Linked DNA regions of Mus musculus: all the other regions are reported to be linked to region 1. The links are microRNA targets in miRTarBase. Many come from high-throughput screens and were not tested one by one. Region 1 holds a microRNA gene; each other region holds the end of a gene's coding sequence. Distances are from middle to middle.

What was found. The annotated mature microRNA mmu-miR-10a-5p reads UACCCUGUAGAUCCGAAUUUGUG and lies in region 1 at 2,899-2,921, opposite strand. An mRNA with a match to its seed (bases 2 to 7 or 8) in the 3' UTR can be bound and repressed. Matches are read on the target gene's strand: a 7mer-m8 pairs with bases 2 to 8, a 7mer-A1 pairs with bases 2 to 7 and ends in A, and an 8mer does both.
Region 2: the mRNA of Rhbdl3 is a reported target of mmu-miR-10a-5p. Seed matches in the 3' UTR shown: 7mer-A1 at 3,123-3,129 and 7mer-m8 at 2,576-2,582.
Region 3: the mRNA of Lpp is a reported target of mmu-miR-10a-5p. The part of its 3' UTR that is shown has no 7-base or 8-base seed match.
Region 4: miRTarBase lists Lats1 as a target of mmu-miR-10a-5p. Seed matches in the 3' UTR shown: 7mer-m8 at 1,466-1,472.
Region 5: the mRNA of Ccdc127 is a reported target of mmu-miR-10a-5p. Seed matches in the 3' UTR shown: 7mer-m8 at 1,331-1,337.
Region 6: miRTarBase lists Shroom1 as a target of mmu-miR-10a-5p. Seed matches in the 3' UTR shown: 7mer-m8 at 1,214-1,220 and 7mer-m8 at 1,284-1,290.

What each region holds. Positions count from the first base shown.
Region 1 is chr11:96,316,019-96,320,106 of GRCm38, reverse strand. It overlaps Mir10a (microRNA 10a), which reads right to left and starts at 2,942; the gene lies at 2,833-2,942. It overlaps Hoxb4 (homeobox B4), which reads right to left and starts at 1,840. Exons shown (of 2, transcript NM_010459.7): 1 at 884-1,840; 2 at 1-77. The coding sequence starts at 1,337. It also overlaps a transcript of Hoxb3 not described here.
Region 2 is chr11:80,352,942-80,357,029 of GRCm38, reverse strand. Rhbdl3 (rhomboid like 3) reads right to left here. Exons shown (of 9, transcript NM_139228.3): 9 at 1,044-3,618. The coding sequence ends at 3,347. Among named protein-coding and RNA genes, the nearest start is that of 5730455P16Rik, 23 kb to the left of the region's middle.
Region 3 is chr16:24,978,962-24,983,049 of GRCm38, forward strand. Lpp (LIM domain containing preferred translocation partner in lipoma) reads left to right here. Exons shown (of 13, transcript NM_178665.5): 13 at 232-4,088. The coding sequence ends at 360. Among named protein-coding and RNA genes, the nearest start is that of Gm52245, 40 kb to the left of the region's middle.
Region 4 is chr10:7,712,344-7,716,431 of GRCm38, forward strand. Lats1 (large tumor suppressor) reads left to right here. Exons shown (of 8, transcript NM_010690.1): 8 at 158-4,088. The coding sequence ends at 667. Among named protein-coding and RNA genes, the nearest start is that of Katna1, 12 kb to the right of the region's middle.
Region 5 is chr13:74,356,387-74,360,474 of GRCm38, forward strand. It overlaps Ccdc127 (coiled-coil domain containing 127), which reads left to right. Exons shown (of 3, transcript NM_001168659.1): 3 at 70-3,282. The coding sequence ends at 731. Lrrc14b (leucine rich repeat containing 14B) reads right to left here. Exons shown (of 2, transcript NM_001033042.3): 2 at 3,196-4,088. Among named protein-coding and RNA genes, the nearest start is that of Lrrc14b, 5.6 kb to the right of the region's middle.
Region 6 is chr11:53,466,255-53,470,342 of GRCm38, forward strand. Shroom1 (shroom family member 1) reads left to right here. Exons shown (of 8, transcript NM_027917.3): 6 at 1-2; 7 at 124-396; 8 at 509-1,512. The coding sequence ends at 841. Among named protein-coding and RNA genes, the nearest start is that of Shroom1, 11 kb to the left of the region's middle.

The sequences.
Region 1 (4,088 bases):
CTCCAACTCCAGGACCTGCTGGCGAGTGTAGGCGGTCCGAGAGCGCTTGGGCTCCCCGCCGGCGTAATTGGGGTTTACTGGACACACACAGAGAGAGAGGGAGAAAGAGAAAGTTTTATTGCCCCCGAAAGGGAGGAGGGAAACCCTTTCTTCCTTCCAGCTAACACCGAGCCTCCTGCTCCCACTACCTCATCTTGGAGGGAGGGGGTCGAAAAAGGAAGACCCGTGAAAGAAAAAAAAAAAAAAAACTCAAACTTTTGGAGGGCTGTACTGTTGTCCTTGTTGCCTGGGGGAGGGGCACTGTGAGGAATCTTGGAAAGATTTTCATCTCACTCTTTGGCTTGAGGACCCCAATGGCGTGGGGTAGTGGGAGGGGGTGTTGCCCTAGACCTTTCCCCGGCTTAGTTCCCACCCTCACTGCTCAGATTCCAAGCAGCGCCTTCCCCTTAGTAAAAACTTTTGCCTACTTCTCCAGCCAAGGTACCAGATTGGAAGAAAGGGGAAAAAAAAAAAAAAAAGAAATCCAGGAAGTTGATTCAACTCTGTGCTTAAATAGGGATTACCTCCTCCTCTTCCTTCTCCTCCCCTCCTCCCACACCCCTCCCCAACTTCCAACTTTACTGGGACTGCGAATCCCTGGCGAAAAAGTCGCTGGGAGAATGAAGAAGAGGATGACTTCAAAGGCGCAGGGCCCACTAGGCCATAAAAATTTATGGGCGATGTAATTATGTGGCTCTGAAAACAGGAGACCGTAAATCTCTGGCAATGGCGAGTTTATAGCGGGGACAATTGGCTTCCCCTCGCTCCCTCCCCCACATGCCTCGGAGGTCCCTTCACTGTAAAGCGCCGGGGGTGGGAGGGGAAGGGGTGCCCACGCACTCACCCGTGCTCACGTGAACTTTGCGCATCCAGGGGTAGACGACGGGCTCTTTGCACGCGGAGTGGGACGGGCTGGGATGCAGGGGGTTCTGGGCGCAGGGAGGCGGCGGGGGGCTGCTGCTGACCGCCTCGCTGCGCTGCCCGGGCTCCGGGAGGAGGGCCCCGGCTGTTGGCTGCACTGGAGCCCGAGGGGACAGCCCGGGCGGTGGCGGGGGCGGCGGGGGCGGCGGAGGTGGCGGGGGCCCGGGGTCTCGGCAGGCCGCGTAGCGCTGCACAGTGCACGGCGCCCGGCGCCCAAAGGCCGCCTCCGGCTGGAAGCCGCTCTCTCGCCTCTGGCCGCCGGCGTAGTACCCGGGCGAGTGGTCGCTGGGTAGGTAATCGCTCTGTGAATACTCCTCGCACGGAGGGAACTTGGGGTCGACATAGTTTGAGTTGATCAAAAAGGAACTCATAGCCATTAATTTCTGGGAATTGCCCACAAAATATACTAAAATTTATTCCGACCCCTGACTCGTTTTCCTGTTTCCGAAAGCCCTCCTACTTACTGTCAAGTGAACAAAGTTAGAGGCCCACGTGATCCTCCGAGCCAATGGCCACCCGGCCTGCGATTCCCGGATAAGGAAATCTGCTCACCCGGACCCTACTCCAGCCAAAGAGGTTTATTTCCCCTTCTCTACCCCTCCCCACCCACCCAACACCAGGATTTACATAGGGCTCCCGCGGGGAGACCCCCTCCTCGCCTGGCTTTCTCCACAACAGAGAGGGGTGATGAACTAAGAAAGAGTGAGCAGGTTAATTGGAGGGCCTGTTTGGGGGTGAGGGGGCTGGGCAGAGCACAAACCCTGCATCCCTCAGAAGTTGGGGCTGCGGGTGTAGCCCCCACCCCTGCCCTACCTAATCTCCACCAACCTTTCTCTGACTCCCATAGGGCCCCATCTCCTCCCCAGGATAAGAGGGAGCTCACGCACTAGGTGTCTGTGTGGGGTTTTAAGTGGTTGGCCGACCAGGGAGCGCCTTCTTGAAATGGGTACCCACTAGGTCATAGGGGCGCTGAGCTTGGGGCTTCTCAGTGCAGCCAGATGGGGAGGGGTAGGAGGTGAGTGAGGAGGCGTCGGGAGCTAGAAGGCGGGTGCGCAGAGGGACTTGTCAGAGATGAATGGAACCGCGAGCAGATCGATAGGAAATTCACGCACTAATTCGGGGAGACTTCGCCTTCCAAATCGCATTTAGCTGCACTATGAGCATCGGCTGTGTCCGTCAGTCTGTCCTCCTCAACACTCCCTCCCTTTAACCCACAAGGCCCAAGGTCAGAGGAACGGCTGGACTCCCTCCACTAAAGACAGAAGATACAATGAAACCAAACCAAACCCGCAAGTTCCTAAAACCAATTGAATAGTAATTTGCTAATTCCAGATTCGTCGAAGCAATGCTAACCAAGAGTTCTAATTGCCGCTAAAGCCGCCGCCTCTGTCAGTGTGGCAGAAAGAAATTTCACAACCTTGAATACTAAGTAAAGGAGCCCTAGCTGTGACGCCCCCACCAACATCACACGCACAAGAACACCCATGGCAACCTTATGTTTTCAGGGCATCTTGTCTTGAATTCAACGAAACAGCAATCTTCGCATCCTTTTAAAAAGCAAATTTCCTTTGCCTTTGCACACTGCAGCCTTCAGCAATCTTTTTTTCCTCCTCATGATTTCCAATAAAGCCCCCTGGACCCAGAATAAGAATAGGTAGGTTGGGGCTTAAAGATAAATTTTAAAACACCAGTAACATTAATCTCTTGAGTGAACAAGGACCCAAGCTTCCAGGGGTGTGCATGGGGACACCTCAGGTAGATGAGATTTCTCCCTCATTGGTTGAGGGAGGAAAAGAAAAGGAGTCTTCTTGAAGGCAGTCACTGGATTGTCCTCATTTAGAAAATAATCTATTTTTCTTCTGGGAAAGAATATGAGCGGAGTGTTTATGTCAACTACATATTCCCCTAGATACGAATTTGTGACCACAAAATTCCTTACACAAATTCGGATCTACAGGGTATATACAGAAGACAGACAGGTCTTCTTGGCCCAGGAAATTTCCAGTTCTCTTACTTTCCGTGCGTTCTTCTTTTGGGTGTGATCTGAATGTTTTCATTTTTATTTCGTTTTGTTTTAATTTTGAGATCTGGGAGCAGAAAAGTCACTGTGGGTCCGTTCTTGGGATTACAAGGGGTTTCAACTTTCTATTCAAAAAATAAAATAAGATTTTTTAAAAAGGCAGCTGTTGTGCAAAGGGACTCGAACCTCGTGGCTGCCGCGCGACTTTCGGTGGCGCATGAATTATTAGATGTAAACATTAGCTAAGCACAAAAGAAGGAAGGGTCATCCCGAGGCTGCCTCGAAGTCAGAATCAGGCCTTTCTGGGTGCCCTCGGCCCCTCCCCTCCCCCCATGACTTTTTTTTTTTTAAGAAAAAATACAAAACCCCAAATAGGTTCCTCCCTTGCCCCCACAGCCTTTAGTTTGTGATCAAACACATATATAGATATTTTCCAAAGCAAAGGGAGGAGGGAGAGGTGTCTGGGTGTGAAGGGGGTGTAATAAAAGTCCTTTTGGAAAAAGTGAATGCTAAAAAGAGAGAGAAAAACAGCTGTGAGGAAAAATGCTGGGAGACCAAACAGATGGCCCCCCCCCCCATATTTAATGACGGGCAATTCCGTTTACAACCTGAGAAGAAGATCAAAGGCAGTTCATTTCCGAATGAAGGGCAATGAGGAACCATAAAAGTTGCAGCCAGATGATGTGCAGGCCCCTCCCAACCTCACATATCCCCCCCATACCTCCTGGAGGCTGGAATAAGGGGACACCCCCCTAGAGGTGTGAGGAGGACCCCCCCTACCCACACCTTATCCCCAGGCAAGGATCCTCTGTCTAGAGGCTCACTAACTGGGCCCATCCACCTGCTTGGGTTGCTGGCTGTGTGGCCAAAATGGGATTCTGGAGTTTTTGGGTGAACTTCCTGAAGCTCCCACTAACATTTGACTTTTCTAAACTGAAAAAATGAGAAATTGAGGATCTGGAGTTTAAACTGGGAGAGCTGTGACCAGGTGAGGGCAAGTGTGTCCAGCAGAGTCTTTCTCACTATCACCACCGCTATAACACCCTAGGCTTGGGGGATACTTCTGCCCTTACTGAGTAAATTACAACACAGTCAATTTCATGAACAT
Region 2 (4,088 bases), 16 Mb from region 1:
ATATACACATACCATATATACATGCACACATATATATACACACATGTATGTATATATGTGTATGTGTATATATATATATATATATATATATATATATACATATATATATATATATATATATTCCTGAGTAGATGTGTTGTTGACAAAGACAAGGCCATGTCAAAGACCCCAGTGTGTCATCCCCACAGGAGCAGCAATGCCTTCCCTGGAAGAGACTTGGAGAGATGGGAAAGGTTTCCTCTGGTCTGTGTGTGAATATAGATAGTGTGCAGAGAATGTCTACCGTAATTTTGCCCCTCCACATGTTTATGGCCTGAAGACTGCGTCCCTACAGAGACTGTGTCTACGAGGTTAGCTACACTTGCCTTCCTGTTCATCTGGATACCACAACCTGAGTTGCCTGTCCAACAGTATATATAAACACTTTGAGCTCGTGGGGCAGGGCTGGGGCTTCTCCATCCACATCCACTCAATCCCAGATTTTCCATTCTTGAATCCACGTATTTGTCATTTCTTCATTCTGTGGCCAACTGTCCATCCCTAGAGCGACTTGGAGGGAGGTACTTAGAACTAGATGAATGGAAGGGAAAAATAGGCCTGAGGGGACAGGGGGCTGAGACTCCTCTCTATCTGCTGGCACCCACCTCGAAAACTGTCCGGGAAGCGACCTATGTGGGTGTTTTCTTTTTTTCTTTTCTTTCTTTTTTTTTTTTTTTTAAGATTTATTTATTTATTATATGTAAGTACATTGTAGCTGTCTTCAGACACACTAGAAGAGGACATCAGATCACATTACAGATGGTTGTGAGGCACCATGTGGTTGCTGGGATTTGAACTCAGGAAGAGCAGTCGGTTCTCTTAACCGCTGAGCCATCTCTCCAGCCCAGTGGGTGTGTTTTCATGGAAAGAACCTTCAGTGTTCACCAACCACTCTGAGAAGGTTAAGGAAGACAGTGCCAACCACCAGTGCCAGAGCCACCCACCCACCACTGCCCGTTTTCACTCTCCCCACCCACCATGAACCAGACACAGGCAAAGCAGGTAGCATGGCAGCCCTTGAGGTCACTCCCTGAATAACCAACAGCTTAAAAAAATCTTTAATGGAATCTGTGCTCAAATAATATGTTACAACAAAAATATACAGAATGTACACAATACAAAAATATCTAGAAACCAACGTCGCGGCTAGTGTTTTGATTTTCACTTAGTCCTGGGAGGGCAGCTCACTGACGGGCACTGTTTTTAAGGCAGAGGAGAGTCAACGATTTGCAGCCAGCCCTGGGAAGCACACAGCACTGGGTAAACCTCATTATCTGCAAACTGAATTGGACACTAGAGGAAGATCTGGGTTCGGTGAGCGATGCCTCCACTAATGCTCTAGGCAAGAATGGTTCACATGGAAATGCAGAATTTAAAGAGCCCGGTTAGGGAGCTTCTCCTAATTAAAAAAAAAAAAATCAAGTGATGAATGGTATCATTAAAGAGAAATTCCTCTTTTTTTGAAAGCCCGTTTTCCCTTGTCTGGTTTCCATGAGTCTTCTCCCCTTTAAATGCAAGCTAGTCTACATAGCTGCTGTTTGGGGATTCCCCAGCCTTTGAGGCCAACCTACAGCCTCCAGCATGAGGAGTGACTCCCAGCCCTGATGGGTGGCCACATTGGAGAGAGGAAGGGCTGAGGGACTCAGGAGAATGGAGATGAGCTGGGAGGTATTGCTGGGATGGTGAGAGGACCAGGAGCAGTTCTCATCCTCCTGCCTCCCTCCAATCTCAGACCTGTGGTTCCTTATCCCAGGGGCTGAAAGTCCCTATAAAGGTCACCTGCCTCACAGCCTCCACTTAGGGTCCCCAGAAGCGTCTCGTGCCAGCCTGAGTAGACTGTCTCAGAGGAGCAGAGGCACTGGGCTCTGAGTCTACAGTTACCTTGCCAAACACCTGATGTGGCATCCCAGGCTGCTGGGGTATGGACAGCACAAGGCCACGCCCCCCAATCTCACTTCCCTGTAAGAGTACTTCCAAGTCCCTGTAGATGGAGCCATCTAACCCTCAGCTGCTCTCACTGGGGACATTCCCTCACCCAAGCTTCCCCAATTCTTCTCAGAGGCTACGTTTTCCACCAAAATATATTTTACTACAGCTTCTTGTCCCACTAATTCACATGGAGAGATGGCCACAGTATCACTGTCCTGGGCTTTCTTTCATCCCAAAGACTTCCTTCTACAGGCGGCAGTACAGACACAAAAGCTACCCCCAAGAGAACCAGAAGAATACAGCTGAGAGTTTTCTCTCAAATGTCTGGTAGTGCTTTGGTCTTCCCTCTAGCTCGACAGTTTTTCCACCAGTCAGTGGTGCTCAGCAGGTGTTTGGGAGGGCAAGATGGGAAAGGGGGTGCATGATGCTAAAGGCAAGGCCACTGAGCGAGCACTGGAGAGCACACTGCTGCTACCCATTCCAGAAATCCCCTGTAGATATCCTCTTGTGTACATTGTCTCCCACTTCTTCCCTCTGCAGCTTCTGACTTGCCTGACATTGCACACACACACACACACACACACACACACACACACACACACACAAAACCCTGTCTCCACACCCAAAGAGAGAGGCACAAAGTAGGGTCAGGGCAGTAGAAAGGAAAGAAGAGACCCCACAGTCCAGATAGGGCATGGATGCAGAGCGATGGTCTGGAATGCTGACTCGTGACTACAGGCAGGAAGAAGAAACCGTCCTGGAACTCTCTTGGGGGAACCTGGGATGAAGAAAGTCATTACCTCAGCACAGGGCCCTCCCCTAGGGCAAGAAAAAGGCCTGGAGCTTATAGCATCTCCCTGCCCAGCCCTAGGAGCAATGCCATAGCACCACTGACAGGACTGGAGCCTGGCTTGCTCTGGGCTCCCCCGGATCAAAGCCATCACATCCATTGCCAGAGCACCAGACCTTGAGCTGCAAAGAGAATGTGGCCTAGCCTACAGTCACCTCTGGGCCGTGGCAAGCCTGGCTGTGGCTATCCTCAGAACTTCTCTGTGTCTCTCCAGGTGGAGACTAGGGAAGAGGGCTATTTGCTCACTCTGTGGCAGTGAGAGGGAATGCATGGGACAAGCCCAAGCCACAGGGACAGCCACTCTTACCCTGCCTCAGACCTTACCCATGACTCCATATCATCAGACCAGCCTAGAAAGATGACAGCAGCCACATCCATCTCCCCACCATCCTTTCAAAGCAACACGCACCCCCCAGCTCCAACAGTCTCCGGTTCTCCCTGCTTTCACTGAATTGGAGATGAGAAGCAGATGCAGGTACTTTCTCGGGATGCTTCTGTTTCCCCGCCCTGCCTTGGACCTCTGGTCCCTTAGGGGGCGGGTGGCAGCTTCAAGTCCAGCAGTGTGTAGGCAAAGATGTTCCAGAAGACAGCAAACAGCACGAAGATGGTGTACATGGTCACAAAGATCCACCACAGCGACTGGTCCTGCAGCCTCTGCTCGTAATTTCTGAGAACCACCACGCCCAGGGTGATGCCCACGGCCACGCCACCCAAGTGTGCCACAAAGCTTGGGTGGGGGCACGGGGGATAAGCCGATGGGTGGAAACGGAGCCATACAGCCCTTCCGAACTCCATACTCACTGCAAAGGGAGGAGACAGAGACACATCATAGCATGGTCCCGGCAGGGGCTGGGGAGAGATCCGGCACACAGGTTGGCCACCCAGCGTCCATTAACTCATTCACTGTCATGAGGCCAAGGGCAGCAATCAGGGAGACAAAACTATCTCAAGAGTCTATGGGGCTTGGCGATAAATCATCAATTAATTACACTCACAAGGCCATTTCATTGAGAGTTTCAGGAATGAGGCAAAAAAAAAACAATAGAAAAATCCAAGCTGGGCACAAGGCAGGGCATCCCCAAGAGGGCCTCTTGAGGAAATGTCAGACAGGGCGTCTCAAGAGAAGATGTTTGGCCTGTCACCTGAATGTTGAGAGGAGTTCTGCTAGGAGACCCTAAGAAAGGCACAGCTCTGTCCGAAGGCCCTGGTATCTCTGTGGTCATGCTACATTGCCGGGACATTTTTTTTTCATCTGTCCACTGGTATAATG
Region 3 (4,088 bases), not on the chromosome of region 1:
TCCACTTGCCTCTGCTTCCTGAGTTCTAGGATTAAAGGTATGTGCCACTACTCCTGGCTACCATTGCATTTATGTTGTTAATCTCTAATTTAGTTTCATTCACAATCTGCTACTACTTGTACTAGTGTTGGGGTACAATGTCCCCATTATGAAAGCCTCTTAAGAGGCTCGGGGAAAGTGGGTTTATCCCTGTAGTTCAGTTCACTTACATCACTGTCTTCATTTCCTTAGGACTGTGGTGGTCTTCTGTCCGAAGGAGACAACCAAGGCTGCTACCCCTTGGATGGACACATTCTCTGTAAGACCTGCAACTCGGCTCGCATCAGGGTCTTGACGGCCAAGGCAAGCACTGACCTGTAGAGTCAATAGCCAGCTCAGCTGCCGAGTGCATGCCAGCAAGAAGAGCGCAACACAAGAAAAAGATAAGAGAAGAAGTAGAAAAATAGAGGCATAGCTCAACCACTAGGATAGTCTCTGTTCTTCATGTGCTATTAACCTTTCTGTAGAAGCGCATAGAGAATACGATTTGTCTACGTTCTTACCAAATACACATTTCACATTTAATCATGCAAGGCCTTGGTGAGCCTTTGTTCCAAGGACTTCCACATTTTTGCACAGATTATACTCCGTCCCATTCACTTCTGCATTCCTGAGACTTTTAATCCTCATGTTTGTCTCACTTCTCATGTGGTTGAATAGATTTTTAGTGTGGTATTTGCTGTCACATGATTTTTCCTGGGTGAATGTGCCAGCCTGCAGGTGCCTTAAGTCTTGTCCTGTCTGTCACTTTTCCTCTGGCTGTGGCTACAAAAGGCAGTCATTCTGTTACCAGGTATTGAAAAGGTGAAGTTTCCCATTGCACTACACCCCTGACGTCTCTTGCTAAAATAATGGTAGGGGGATATTTTTCTATGTTAAGCTATAAAGAGTTTATTTGAAAAAGTTAACAGGAGCCCACTTTAGTCTGCAACTATCCAAATTCAGCAGTCAAGGCTCATTGGAAAACATTGATTAGCCAATATCTAAAATGTGGGGAAATAAAACCAAGTTTCACCACTGTGCTAAAGAGGCAGAATTCTAGGTGTATCTGGAAGGCCCGTTGTATTTCCACAATCCCACCCTGAGAGTTAGCTCACCACACTCTCTGGATATAAGACTGTCAGGCTTGCTTTTGGTACATTTATAAATCTATCCAACTCTTCATCCTTAAAGCACTGTGAAACTTCACCTAATATATAAGCATGGTTACTGCAATTAATATTTATCTTCAGAAAGATAAGTATTAAAATGAATCAAATTCTTATCTTTCTTTCTTTCACTTTATAGTGACCCAAACCTAAATCTCTTTTGCCTGAAAATTGCAAATCGGGACACATAAAATGAAATTATAGGACCATGTTTCATCTTCTTTAAAAAAGAGAAAAAAAAGCTGGGAAAGATTGTGAAACCAGAGTTTATTATTCTTACAATCCTCTGTAACTCAAGTACATACTGCAGGAGACATTTTCCTATCATCAACGTGACATTCACACCACACTTTCAAAGACAATCGCTGAAAACCAAATTGTCTTTCTGAGGTAAAAATATGCGGAATGCCTGCCTGGAATCTTTATGCGAACTCTTATTAGCCAGTGAAACACTTGCTTGCCAACTGGAGCCAGTTCGCTTCGTTAAGAGGAGACACCTCGCTTTGCAGTTGCAGTTGGCCATTATTGTAAAGTCAGTATCTCAGAATGAGATTTCTCAAAGCTTTCTTTAAATCTTCTACAGATATATACCTTTAAATTATGGAATACCTTAAATATTACAGAAAGGTATAAATAATAATATAAAGGTCCCTCTATAGCTAACACCGTTCTAGAAGTATAGTCACTTTAAATTTTTTAAACTCCACAAATATCTTTTTATCTCTTTTATATAGTACTGGGAGTTGAACTAGGGCCTCATGTGCTCGGCATGTGCCCTGGCACCCCAGCATCCCCAGCTCTTCCGTGTCTTTTTCTTTTTTTTTTAATCTTTATGACATGATGATTTTCTAGTCTGACAGTTTTAATTTTAACATTTAGAGCAAAAAAAAAAAAAAACCTGTTTAATTACTTGTGCATGTTTAAAATTGCAACCCATGCCTCAGGAATTCCATAAAGTTTATTTTACTTGAATAGAAGTCATCTTAAAAGTGATTAAAAGAAGCCCTTAGGCCATTGTCACACAGCCCCTCTGGGTCAGTCTGTGGCTTATTGACTTTCTCCACAGGCAGTTTGCCTGTTAGAATCCCCAAAGCTGGCATTTTGGGGCCTTTCCCTTGCCCCCTGCTCTCACCTGGCTTCTCTTCTCTTGAGATTCATGGAGGCAGCCTGTGGATCTCAGAATTCAGTGGGCGCTCTCTAGCTCTGAATCCCTGTGCTGCAAATCAAAGGCTCACCTGTGCTGGTGACCTCGAGGAACGCTAACAGACAGTCGAGGTGAATACAAGCCTGAACTGACTAAAATGCTCACCGTGAAATATTTCAGGAAATGTCTTTAAGCCAAAAGTAGAGTGCAGTATAAGTAAGGGGCAGGAGTAATGTCTAGAAATGTAGACAGCAGAGGAAGAGTTTATGTAATATTTATACTATAGAGCAATAACATCCTCCATGTTTGTTACATGTAACTACTTGTAACCAGATGTTTACATGCAAGATTTATAGGAAAATGCTGCCCATTCTTCCCTGAGGTGTTAAGGGCAGAGCTCCCTTGCTCGTAGCCTACCCAGTGCTTTCCTGTTGAGTCACCTCAGAGGATCTTTACCAAAGATTTTTTTAAAGTAAATTTCTTTTTAATATAGACTTATACTTTTATAATAATGAATGTGCACATACTCATATACAGAAATATTTAGGATTAGATCTTTTTCTTTCACAAGGTCTCATGCAATAAAGTATCCACCACATTATTCTCCAATTACTTTAATATATAATTTACATTGCTTTCTCGTTTTCTTCTACTAAGCATTTGACTTAAGCAATACTAAATACTCTGCTCTTTGCTCTTTTATCTACATAAAGATTTGCCTACTGTAGAGATATAAAGATCTGTTACCTTAATGATTATATGCATTGCCTTTTGATATATTGCCTTACTTATCATTTAAATACATAAATAGAAAGATATAATGTCTGTAACAGAAAACTTATAAAGTTATACCTGAATTGTTTAAATATCAAGAGCACAAACATTTGGTTATTCTGTATAAAATGAAACATATAAGAAAGGAAAAAACCCACCATCATGAGCTCTGCAGAGAACATTTAAAATAATTCTCTTTCTATTTCTGGAGTGGTAGGGATGGATCTCTGAAACTTGTGTAAAATAGACAAGTGCTCTACCACAGCTAAACCTCCCATCCAGAGTAAGATTTCATAGCTGTTTGGGTTCCCATCTAAGCCTGGCTCAATATGGAGTCTGATTGGCAAACAACATTGCCTTTAGAACTCAAAAATACACCCTCCCAATCCTAGCTCATGGCCTCAGTACTAGTGAAATCCTGCCACCTCTGCAGCTCAAAGATGTGGATGTTTTCCTGTCAATAGCACACTGTCCCTGTAGGAACAACTTGTGGTCAGAATTGCTACGTGGGTTATATGCTGATTAAGGACATGAACTTAAAAACACTAAAAATGCTGCAACAATTTTATGTTGGACTTGAACAGTGTGGAACATATTAACCATAAAGAGCTCTCTTGCATTTGGGCCGTTGGAAGGGGAGAGTGCTCTGTGAGGCTGCAGCAGAGCTTTAATAGGCAGGATTCTGAAAACACAACTACCAAGCATCTTCAGAGTTACTACAAATCCTATTAATGTGAACCAGTCAGGAATAACAGTGTTATTTCTATTTGATGTGGTTTAGGCTTCTCTTGTCAGATCTGTGTCGGTTGCCCCCTGATCCTTCCATTCTCAAGTTTTGAAGGGTGTCAGGGAAATTATGGCAGCTGCTAGGGAGATCTGAGAAACGCTGATGTAACCTCCCAGCCTCTCACCATCCCTCTTGGCTTGGAAAGGCTTTTTTTCCCCATATACATTTCTAGAAATATTGCCATTCTACCTTAGCA
Region 4 (4,088 bases), not on the chromosome of region 1:
GACAGGAGAGTATATGTTTTCAGCAGTGATTATTATTAAAGGTAAAGTACCCGGCAGATCATTTAGAAAACCAAGTAGTCCAGGAAGACATTTGGTACAAAACCTGGGAAATTACTGTGTTTTATCTCTTCCTAATTTTTAAAACTCTTCTCTAAAGGTTATCAACTGGCAAACTTCTCTTCACATCCCTCCTCAAGCTAAGCTGAGTCCTGAAGCCTCTGACCTCATTATCAAACTTTGTCGAGGACCAGAAGACCGCCTCGGCAAGAACGGTGCTGATGAGATAAAGGCTCATCCATTTTTTAAGACCATCGATTTCTCTAGTGATCTGAGACAGCAGTCTGCTTCATACATCCCTAAAATCACGCATCCAACAGATACATCCAATTTCGACCCTGTTGATCCTGATAAATTGTGGAGCGATGGCAGCGAGGAGGAAAATATCAGTGACACTCTGAACGGATGGTATAAAAATGGGAAGCACCCCGAGCACGCTTTCTATGAGTTCACCTTTCGGAGGTTTTTTGATGACAATGGCTACCCATATAATTATCCAAAGCCTATTGAGTATGAATACATTCATTCACAGGGCTCAGAACAACAGTCTGATGAAGATGATCAACACACAAGCTCCGATGGAAACAACCGAGATCTAGTGTATGTTTAATAAACTAGGAGATCATTGTAAGAATTTGCAAGAGGCCTGAAGTGCAGGGGTTTTTGAAGTTTTGAGAAAATTATGCAAATGTGACAGAGTTTGTGTGCTCTGTGTACAATATTTTATTTTCCTAAGTTATGGGAAATTGTTTTAAAATGTTAATTTATTCCACCCTTTTAATTCAGTAATTTAGAAAAAATTGTTATAAGGAAAGTAAATTATGAACTGAGTATTATAGTCAATTCTTGGTACTTAAAGTACTTAAAAAATAGTGCTCTGTTTAAAAAGAGAAGCCTGGTATCTTTTGTATATATGATAAATAATTTTAAAATTCAAGAATTTTTGAAGATTTTTGAAAGACAGTTTTATCTTGCTTTAACCAAATATGAAATATAACCATATTTCCCTTGTAACTTTGGGTTTAGTTCCCAATACGCTAAAGAAATCAAGCCGTTGTTTTAGAAGGTAAGGTGTTCCTAGAGTAATTTTAATCTTGAAGTCATATCCTGTAATCACAAATACAGAGCAAAAACAATATGTTCACTAGAAATAATGCAGCTTACCCCTTCCCTCCCCAGAAGTCTTCAACCTAACCTAGCATTTTTCTTTCAGATACCGGCTTTAAAGAAGCCAGAGCACTGCTAGTTTTGTTTCCAGATTGGTATTAATGCTGCTTCCAGTTTTTGTTTTATTGGGATTTTTGTTTTGGTTTGGTTTTGGGTTTTTTTTCGAGGGGTGGGGGTATTGTTTTGTTTTGATTTTTTTTTTTTTGTTTTGGTTTGGTTTTTTGGGGGGCAGGGGATTGAGACAGGGTTTCTCTGTGTAGCCCTGGCTGTCCTGGAACTCGCTCTGTGACCAGGCTGGCCTCAGACTCAGAGGTTCACCAGACTCTGCCTCCCCCGAGAGCTGGAATTAAAAGTGTGTGCCACCACACCCAGCTGTTTCCAGTTTTAAAAGGGAACAAAGTTGCCATGAATTGAATTTTCAAACTGAAACTAAGATCTGTAATATTTGTATCTTAAAATTAGAAGAAAAATTTCCATCTCCTAAGTAAAGAAATTATTTTCAGTTTGTAATTTTTTTTTTTAATTTACGTGTATGTACTCACTAAGAAAGTACATTTTCTAGGGGCTAAGGATATGGCTCAGTGGTAGAGCACTTGCCTAACATACACAAAGCCTTGGGTTCAGTCCCTAGCCCCTGCCACATAAAGGTACCTTTGTTGTACAGTGACCAATCTTGATTGTGTCATTGATGCTATAGATTTCCTTTTTCAGAACAGTGCTACAATACAAATTGTTGGCAAAGGAAATGTAACTATTTGGCACTATTATACCTAAGAGTAGATTAATTGGTTAAAAATAATTATTAATTAACTCTTAATTGGGATGAGCATCCCTAATTAGATACATAGTAGTTTAGAAAGTGAAAACTTCCTAAGTTATTTAAGATTAATGTCCTATTTATATAATGTTTAGGTTCTAAGGAAGAATTGTGGATCCCTAACAAACATCTTAGGAACATCTTTTAGGAAGAAGAATGGGGCTGTACTCTGACCTTAGTAAAGTTTGTATGTATATTATTTCATTTTTTCAAGGTTTATTGACATGAATTGCTTTATCAGACTTAATGTTTGTGGCTAGGAATGATGTTTACCTATCTAGCTTTCTTATAAAAGATAATTTGTTTAAAACCATATGTATAGTAAAATTAAAAGCAAAGCTATTTGTTTGAATTGGGGAGAGAGAAAAACATTATTAGCTTACACTTTCATGTTGAGCTTGGAACCTGTCACGTGTACAAGTGAGCCTTCAGACCATAGATCATTTTGAGATAAAGACTATGTGAACTCAGGCCCTACTGAAAAAAAGTGTGTATCCACACATACATTAGAAAGTGTTGCATGCACTCTCAAGAGACCCTGGGTGTGATAAAACTTCCCAGACAGCAGGTTAAAGACCTACATCCTGTGAGTCAATTGCTATATCAAAGTAAGACCTTTGATATCCTTTGACTTTATTGCACAGCGCTCAGATGAGCACGTTTGTAAACAAGTAATGATCTGCTCTTGGAATGAGCCCGTGAAAGCAACACAGCACAGACATGTCTATAACATGAAAGCAGCACAACACAGACATGTCTATAACACTGTTCTAACGGCACTGGTGTCTTGTGATTCTGAGGGCTCCTGATGAGAGCTGTCACCAGACAGTCTTCACAGCATGGAGCGTCTGAAGTCTGAAGGCCCTATGCAAAGCATGCATTGAGGGAGGTTTGGCCTGGGTCCCTCCCACAGGTCAGAAAGACAGCCCTCTGACCTTCGGGCTCTTCACTCAGACTGACATTTTCATTTAGTGGTTTTACACCTGGATCATGTTCACAACGCAGGACTGCTAAGGTGCTGCCCCTCCCCACGACCATGGTGCCTCAGAATGTAAACACTAATTCTACGTCCTTCTTTGCTTCCCTCGGACAGTATAAGCTTCTAGCGTTTGTCTGAGGCAGTATACAAGGATTCGGTATCTGCAATTTTAGTATTTTGTTCACAATTTTAACATTTTGGATGCTCATGTTGGTTATTTTACCCCTGACTACACCCAGTTCTCCCAGCATAGGAGTTGCTGCTTTCTGAGCAAACAATGAGCACAGCATAGAAAACATAGACACTTAATTAAAACGGCAAAGACGCTGCTCTCCAGCTCTCCCCTAGAACCCGCCGTCTCCTGTGCGTGCCCCTTCAGTGTGTATCAGTGGTATTTATAAAATGTGCTCTATAATTATGTGCTTGTACATACTGGTATATGTTGTGCAGTGATGTCCTGAGGCAGGCCCTGTTGCTGTATCTGTCCTACCTTCCTATTTGTAATAGAAACTATAGAATGTATGACTAAGAAGTCACTTTGAGATTGACTTTTATAAAAAGTTATTTACCTTCTGCTGTTGAGAAGTGCAAAACTGTGAGTGGAAATGTTTTATTCTGATTTAATAATATGTTAGAAATTAGAAACCCAGTGGGAGGAGTTTTTAGATATGCTGCTGCTGTTACCCAAGGTACTTTAGAAATTTTCCTTTAATAAAAAAATTCCTTTGATATTTAAAGTAAAACAGTCTGTTTTTGAATCTAAAACTGTAATTTGGGTCAACATATTGGTCTATTTGTAAAGTGCCTTAGTATATTCCTTTGTGGAGGGCACTACCCAGTTTACTTTTATATTGTCTTATGTATATAAGGGTTTTATATTACAATGGAATCAATGGCAACACTACCATTTTATAAAACAGTGCTTTGCTAGGAAAAATTACAGCTTTGCAATATAACAACTGTTTTTGGATATTTCTGAATGTACTAGAACAAATAATCAGTCTGTTTTTAATGAATCTATTTGTATTTTCCCAATCATTCCCTCTAGTGTAATATTTGCTGGGATAA
Region 5 (4,088 bases), not on the chromosome of region 1:
CTTTAAGTAGTCATAGGATTTTAGTTATGTCTCTTCACGTGTCTTCCTCATCTCTTTTATTCGTGTCAGGTTGGATTTGGTCTAGGGAATCCCAAAAAGAGATAGAAAAAGCCAGAAAAGCATATCATCAGAGAACAGCTGCTTTCCAACAGGATCTTGAAGCCAAATACCATGCTGTGATCTCAGAACACCGGCGCGCTGTGGCTCAGCTGTCTTTGGAACTGGAAAAAGAGCAAAATAGAACAAGTAGTTTTCGAGAAGCCCTCATCTCGCAGGGGCGTAAGTTGGCAGAAGAAAAGAAACTTCTCGAACAGGAACGGGCTCAGATAAAGCAAGAAAAAAGCCGGCTCCAGCCTCTGAGAAATGTCTATTTGAGCTGCCTGCAAGAAGAGGATGACTGGCAGAGGAGAGCCCAGCATGTGCTGAAAGAGGTGGGAGAAGCTCTCGAGGAACGCCAAAATATCTATTGTAGCCTGATCATCCCCCGTAGTGCACGACTAGAGCTGGAGAAGAGCTTACTGGTGCGCACATCTGTTGATCCAGTGGCTGCTGACCTAGAAATGGCAGCTGGCTTGTCTGACATATTTAAGCATGATAAGCATTGTGGAGATGTCTGGAACACCAACAAACGTCAAAATGGGAAGCTCATGTGGATGTATCTCAAATACTGGGAACTACTTGTCGAACTTAAAAAATTTAAGAAAGTAGAGAAGGTCATATTAGAAAAATAAGAATGTAATGAAACTCAAGGCCAGAGGGAGTCTCTCCCCATGGCAGTCTGCAGTCTGGGGTCTCTTGATATTTTTACTCTGTTCCTTTGCCACCAAAAGTGGCCCAGTAGAGCTACTCGTTGTGAGAACTCAAGTCTTTCCACCCTTTGAGCAGTGCAGTGGGGCCTTAGCAGATAATGTTTTTCTACGATGCTATGCAGCTATTAGAGATACTTTTTTTGAAACATTTTTGAGCTGCTAATATTTAGCAAAACAAGTACAACTATATATTTTAGTTCTAAGGGGAAAAAAATACAATATTCTTACTCTAAGAAATGTTTTCTCAGTTTTTACCTCTACTCCCTTTCCTGATTTCATGTAAGAGTTGTTGAGTAATATAGTAGTTATATTACCAAAATTTATCTTGTTTGGAACACCCCACCACCACCAAAAAACCAAATATTTCTTATGCCCAGCCGGTACCCCAGTGAATATTTAGAATTGAGCTGGTCCTGTATTCAATAAGCATGTTATTTATTAGCAATGATATGCAGTCAATAATATTTGTCATTTAAAAGTAATGGTGTTGCTTTTTTTTTTTTTTTAAATGGTTTTTCAAGACAGGGTTTCTCTGTATAGCCCTGGCTGTCCTGGAACTCACTTTGTAGACCAGGCTGGCCTCGAACTCAGAAATCCACCTGCCTCTGCCTCCCAAGTGTTGGGATTAAAGGCATACAACCACCACGCCGGGCATGGTATTACTTTTTGTGTGACTTTTACTATTTTTTTTTTGAGACAATCTTACTACATAGCCCAGGTGGACAGTCTTCCTGCCTCAGGCTCCCACATGCTGTGATTACAAGTGTGTATTACATTCTTGGGTTGATAATTTTGCATGTATTGATAAGTACTTATAACTCATTTACATACAGCTTATATGAGTTGACCCTTTGTACATAACTTACATAATCCTTACTCTGGTTTTATGAGCTAAGTACTTGTAAATGGTAATTTCTCAAGATACCCAGGTTCTGTGACTTGCCATAGTTTCTAATACTCAACCTATGGTTGCCCTCAGGACTAAGATTTGTGTTAGCAAGAAAGATAAAATCAGCAGAGAACAGGCATGTAGAAGAATCTAGAGGGAGCCAGATGGAGCCACCAGGGGTTACACTGTGGAATCCCAGGGAGCATTGTTTAGTTTAGGGGTATAACTAGAAACACAACAAATTCCCAGGAAAGCTCACTGGAGACTATCAAGATTTTGATAGAGTGAGATCTATTCATGTGACCTTTCACAGCAGTTCCATTCCCACAGGAAGGCAAGTGGTAGAAGTCACTCATAGTCTGTAAGCAGTTTAGGTATGGTGAATCACTCTTGCTAGTTACCAGCACTGGGAACTCCCAGCATCTAGACACCTATTAGGGACTAGCCTTGTGTGAGGATGCACTATGAAGTCTGTTAAGTGAGCTTTCCCACATAGCCTTATTTTACAGAGGATGGGGATAGAGAGCCTTAATATGGAGAAAGCAATCTGTCTAGGTCATAGGTAGTATTTTGTGGAGTGGATCTGAGTTGGGTGTTTGATTTACAGACATTGGAACCTGTGTGTGGTTATTTGTCAGTAGCCATGCAGGAAGTGAACAAAGTAGTCAGTTTGTGTTCAGATCCTATATTCTACCCTGTGCATATCTTTCTGTGTAGAGAGATGGCAAACTTGAAAATACTTACCCAGAAAACAGTTCAGTTATAGAATGGTTAAGGAGCACTTGGCCCGCTTCCTATTCCACATTTAGTTTTCAGAACTACCTTGACAGAGCTGATAGCAGGCACTCTGAGCAGAAGCCAGGTAATTCCACCTTCAGATAAAGCTCTTGTCCGTAGCTATTTACCATGTCTTTCTGCTGTATTACCAGTCTTTTGAGAAGTTATTTTTTTCTAGTACATCTAAGAAACAGTTTTTTAAGATTGTGTTTCCTAATTCATTAGACCATTGAAGGAAGCCACATAGGCTCTAGTTTTCTGTTACTCCACTGGTTTGCCCATGTGATCTTGGACAGACCACCTCATGGCTTTCTCTAAGATTTATCTTTTAAAATGACACATTTTCCAGGGGAATCACATCACTGTTTGAGTCTGTGGCATGCCCGCCTTCCATCCTAAGTATGCTTTCTGTCTTTTTCAACTGAAAATGTTAGTAGCATATTTTATTGCTGTTCGGGGTCAAGTGGAAGTAGACAGACCTTGGGGGTAGAGACAGCACAGGAGGATCTGGAATGGTTTACCTGTGAGAGGAGGTCCTGAAATGGGGAGGTACCTGAGAAGGGTCACATGGAGAAGGACTACAAGTGGGAGTCAAGTCCCTTGGTTGGCACACGGATGGTTATAGAGCTAAGTTTTTTACTTCAGTCACAAAAGAATTATTTTCACACTCTTAAGTTTTAAAGTTTAGATTATTACGTAAATAAACTGTACATGAGTTTAGCCACACTCCTATTTTATTAGCATTTCATTACAGTAGTACTTTGGCAAAGCAAATACTGGAAATAAAGTCTAAACGAGTCTTTCTTACGTGATGATTTGTTTCTCAAAGGAGTTGCAAAGGGCCAGGCCTCAGCCATTCTGAGGAGGAGCAGTGATTCGTGTGCCTTATAGATATGTTAACATTTACAAAGCTCATTCTTGAAAACTGAGTCACGAGTTTCAAAAAAATCATCTCAGTGTCTTCAGTAAGTTTCCAACTTTGTAATGCGCTACGTTCATAGCTATCCTCTGTCACATGTGACTGCATAGACTGTTCAGGTTAGACATGCCTGTCTTACAGTCTGAACTCTAAGCAGAAAGCAGATCAGAGTATGCCAAGAAACACTGGGCATATTTCAGTGACTAGATGTCCTCAGTCACCAAAAGACGATAAAAATCTGCTGCAGGTGGAAACAAAGCCCAAACAGCCACCGATAGAAAACTGATCATCACCCCATCCCCCACATTTCTGTGTAGCCGATGTCATCTGGTAAAATACACAGCAGATAGAACATAACTAAACTGCTAGCTCAGGGGTCTGGTTCATTTTTATTTTCAATGTCTTTTTTTTGTTTGTTTGTTTTTTGTTTTTGGTTTTCCTCAAGACAGGGTTTCTCTGTGTAGCCCTGGCTGTCCTAGAACTCACTTTGTAGACCAGGCTGGCCTCAAACTCAGAAATCCACCTGCCCCTGCCTCCCGAGTGCTGGGATTAAAGGCGTGCGCGACCACGTCCGGCTCAGTGTCTATTTTTTATGAGCTGCTGTTTCTATACATTTTGATATACATGTGGTGAATTTTCTCATTTCTTCCCCTCACAGCATCAGAGCTAAGTAGTTGACCCTGTTCCCACTACA
Region 6 (4,088 bases), 43 Mb from region 1:
AAGTGAGTGGGGGAAGGGGTGGGGTGGGTAGGGGGATGGAAGCTGGGTGGGGCCGCGGCTTAGTGTCTGGTTGGAGAAATCCAGACTTGGCCCAGTTTTTGAATACTTAGGCCCTCCCGGTAGGTGGAACTAGCCCGCCTCCTCCAAAAGATGCTGCAGGATCTTCACGCTGAGCAGGAGCGACTGCGGGGGACCGCCGCAGACTGGACCCAACGCAACGGAGCTCTAGAGGCTGCTGTGAGCCAGGCCTGTACACCCCGGGAGCTGGAACGGTTCCGCCGGTTCATGACTGATCTAGAGCGTGTGCTTGGTCTGCTGCTGCTGCTAGGCAGTCGCCTGGTCCGTGTAAACCTCGCCTTGGCTAGGGCGGGCTCAAACAGCGACCCTGATGAGAGGGTAAAATAGGTTGAGGTTGGGGGAAGAGCAGGGTTTGGAGGGGCCTTCCTTCTACCGCCCGGATCATCCGGGAAGCAACGGTGTTCACTGCGCCCTCTCCCGGTGGTTCCAGGCCTCTCTGCTGCAGCGACTCCAACTTCTGCAGCGACAGCAAGAAGAAGCTAAGGAGCTGAAGGAGCACGTGGCTCGGCGGGAGCAAACCCTGCGTCAGGTGTTGGAGCGGGAGCTGCCCGCAGAGCATCTGCGCTCCTATTGTGTGCTGCTGGCCTCCAAGGCCAGGATCCTGTCACAGCAGCGCAGCCTGGACGATCGAATCCGGTTCCTTAAGGACCAACTGGACACTATCTGGAGCGACCTCAGCCATCATCCCCTTTCTCCCAGACTGACCTGGGCCCCAGCAATCCGTCCTCTAAACAAACAACCTTTTCTTGCTACCCTTATCTAGTTACATGTAGCGGAGGTGGGAACATTGTCCCAGGCTCACCCACAACTGGGGCGATGCTTTATAGAGAGCTTTCCCTTGAGGGAGTAGGGAGGAGTCAGACCAGGCCTTCCTAGGACACATCTTCCCACGGTGTTCTCCTGTGACCTTATTCAAGTTTGTAATTCTTTGGGAATTTGTGGGTCGTAAAAACTGCAGTATTCAAAGCCTGGCCTGGTGGTGTAGCTGTACTCCCCGCTATATGGGAAGCTGAAGATTTCAAGTGTAAGGTCTATCCGGGCTACAAAGGGAACTCAAAGCCAGCCTGGACAACTTAGGAGACTCTCCCTCAAAATAAGACGTAAAAAGAGGGCTGCAGGGTTTCGGGTTAGGTATACAGGGTTGGGGGAGGTCTGCCTCCACAAAAGACAGAAAAAAGAAGTCTGCAGGGGTGGGAGTTGGGGATACAGGGTTGGGGGTGTGTGTGTGTGTGAAGAGATGGACCAGCAGTTAAGATCACGTGCTGTTCTGCCAGAGGACCTGGGTTTTATTTCACGCATCTATGGTATATGGCCCACACCCGTCTGTAACTCCAGTTCCAGGGAATCTGACACTCTCTGGTTTGCACACAGGTAATGCACAGACATACATGCAGGCACAACACCCCTAAATAAACAAATAAATATAAAAGTAACTTAAAGAGAGGGCTACAGATAGAGCTGTAGAGTGCTTGCTTGCCATGTGTGAGAGTCTGGGTTCAAGCCCTCATAGAGCGACCACAAAAACAAAGCACAAGCCGGGCGTAGTGGTGCACGCCTTTAATCCCAGCACTTGGGAGGCAGAGGCAGGCAGATCTCTGAGTTCAAGGCCAGCCTGGTCTACAGAGTGAGTTCCAGGACAGCCAGGGCTACACAGAAAAACCCTGTCTCATAAAACAAAACAAAAACAAACAAACAAACAAAAACAACAACAACAAAAACAAAAAAACCAAAGAACAAAACCAAAAAAAAAAAAAAAAAAAAAAGCATGAGGAAGGATTATAAACCCTGCACACTCCCGTGTGATGGCGAGTCCCTCTGTCAGAGTTGGTGGGAGGCAGGAGGGTCAAGAGAGAAGAAGCTTAAGGTATAAACAAGCATTGCATTTTATATTCTAATAAACTCTCTAAGAGGAGCATGCATTGCCTGCAGCCGACAAGGGAAACTAACACTCTCTCTCTCTCTCTCTCTCTCTCTCTCTCTCTCTCTCTCTCTGTGTGTGTGTGTGTGTGTGTGTGTGTGTGTGAGATTGACAAACTCCAGCAACAGTCCAGGCTGACCAAAATGGAAGAGAGACTTGGTAAAGTGTCAGTCTGGCTCAGCAATGTCTGAAGAGACTGGAGAACCAGGTTTGAAAGCAGGAGGGGCTGAGGGGCATTCCACTGACCCCCACCCCCACCCCAGCAATTGCTAACTGCCCTGGTAACTGGATCACCACACAAAAGCATTTGCTATAGAAGTCTGATAACCTGAGTTCAAACCCCAGATTCCACAGAAGAACCAACTCCCAGAAGTTGTCTTTCTTTCTTTTTCTTTTTTTGTAATTTATTTATTCTTTTATGTATGAGTACACTGCTGCTGTCCTCAGACACACCAGAAGAGGGCATCAGATCCCATTACAGATTACAGATGGTTGTGAGCCACCATGTGGTTGCTGGGAATTGAACACAGAACCTTTGAAAGAGCAGTCCATGCTCTTAACCGCTGAGCCATCTCTCAAGCCCCAGAAATTGTCTTTTGACCCAACACAAATGCTGTGGCAGTCACACACCCATACACAAACACATGGTTTTGTCTGACCCTTACCAACTAACTATGCCTCCAAAATAAATATAGAAAGAAAGAAAGAAAGAAAGAAAGAAAGAAAGAAAGAAAGAAAGAAAGAAAGTCTGCTGAAGTTAGAGTCTGTCATCATAGCATTTGCCAGGCTGTGTGGAAGGTTTTTCTTGAGAACCATGAGTTACAGATGAAGATGAGGCCTGAAGTCCCAGAAAGGCAGCTAGGGCTTGTACTGTATTTAGAGAAGACTGATCCTGGGGTGGTATGTGATGGTCCAAAACACAGGACAAAACCGGCTCCATTTGTTCAGCCCTATGTACAGACAACCAGCTTTGCAAATTAACATGAGACCCGAGTCAGTATATCAGTTGCAAACAGCAGGGATAAGAATATTTTCTCTCAAAGGCTCAGGGTATTTTTGGAAGTTGGGCACATTAAAGGGCGCGTGTATGTGTATTTAAAGCCAATGGGCCTCAGAGCGAAAAAAATCTCTGCTTCTGGGCTTGTTTTCTGATGTGTATTGTCACTAAGTGCAAATGGCTGAGAACTGTAAATGGCCCTATTCATACTAAAGGCATCAGTTGCAACAGTCGGGCTATTGAGCACAGAACAATGTTCTCATTGTGATATTTTATAAAACGCATATGGGGCTCCTGCTGAGGCCATTGCAGGTCTAACGTTATGCTTTCCTTGTGTCGCCTTGAACCCTGTGGGCAGGGTCCGGGCACTAAGGTCTCTTGGAGGAGCCTTCTGCGTGGAAGCTGCTGATCTCTGCCTGTTGCCCTACGCAATTCCCATTTGAAACATCATGCTTCTGTTATGATATTCTTAGAAACACACCTAACACTGTCCACTCAGCCAATGGAAAGTGTGTATTTCAAAGCATTTCTGGCTTATGGGTGGGTATAGGGACGACTGCCATCTTTAGGCTAGAACAAACCTTGGTTCTGCGCCAGATTTTTCGAAGGGGAAATAACGAGATTTCCGTGCTCAACCCTGACAGTTTTTGAGTCACAGTTCCAGAGCTGGTCCTTGGGTCCAGCCTGATCTTGTCTCGTTCTTGCCTCAGTTTTTATCCTGTCCAATCGGTGGTTTCTTTTGAGGGCACTCAAGAATTCACAGCAGAGCATCGCAGACTTCAAGACTTTTGGGGGGTACTTGGAACCTGATGCGTTCGTTGGCCCTGCGATACACCGCCAGCAGATGGCACTGTTCCCTTATCATGGAAGCTTCCACCCACACCGTGGCCACCGGCAGCCTAGGGAGCTCGCACAAGCTCCAGTCTAGATACCAGGACTTGGCCTGGCTCTGATGGGCAATGTCCCTGTTGGGCTTGAAGGCTGGAACTGAGCCTTTTGCTTCTGTCAGAAAGAAATTCTGGCTAGCTAAGAAGGAAAAGGCTAGCTTGCCTTTCACTGCCAACAGGCCTGCGTTGGAAAATTGTTGACTAAATG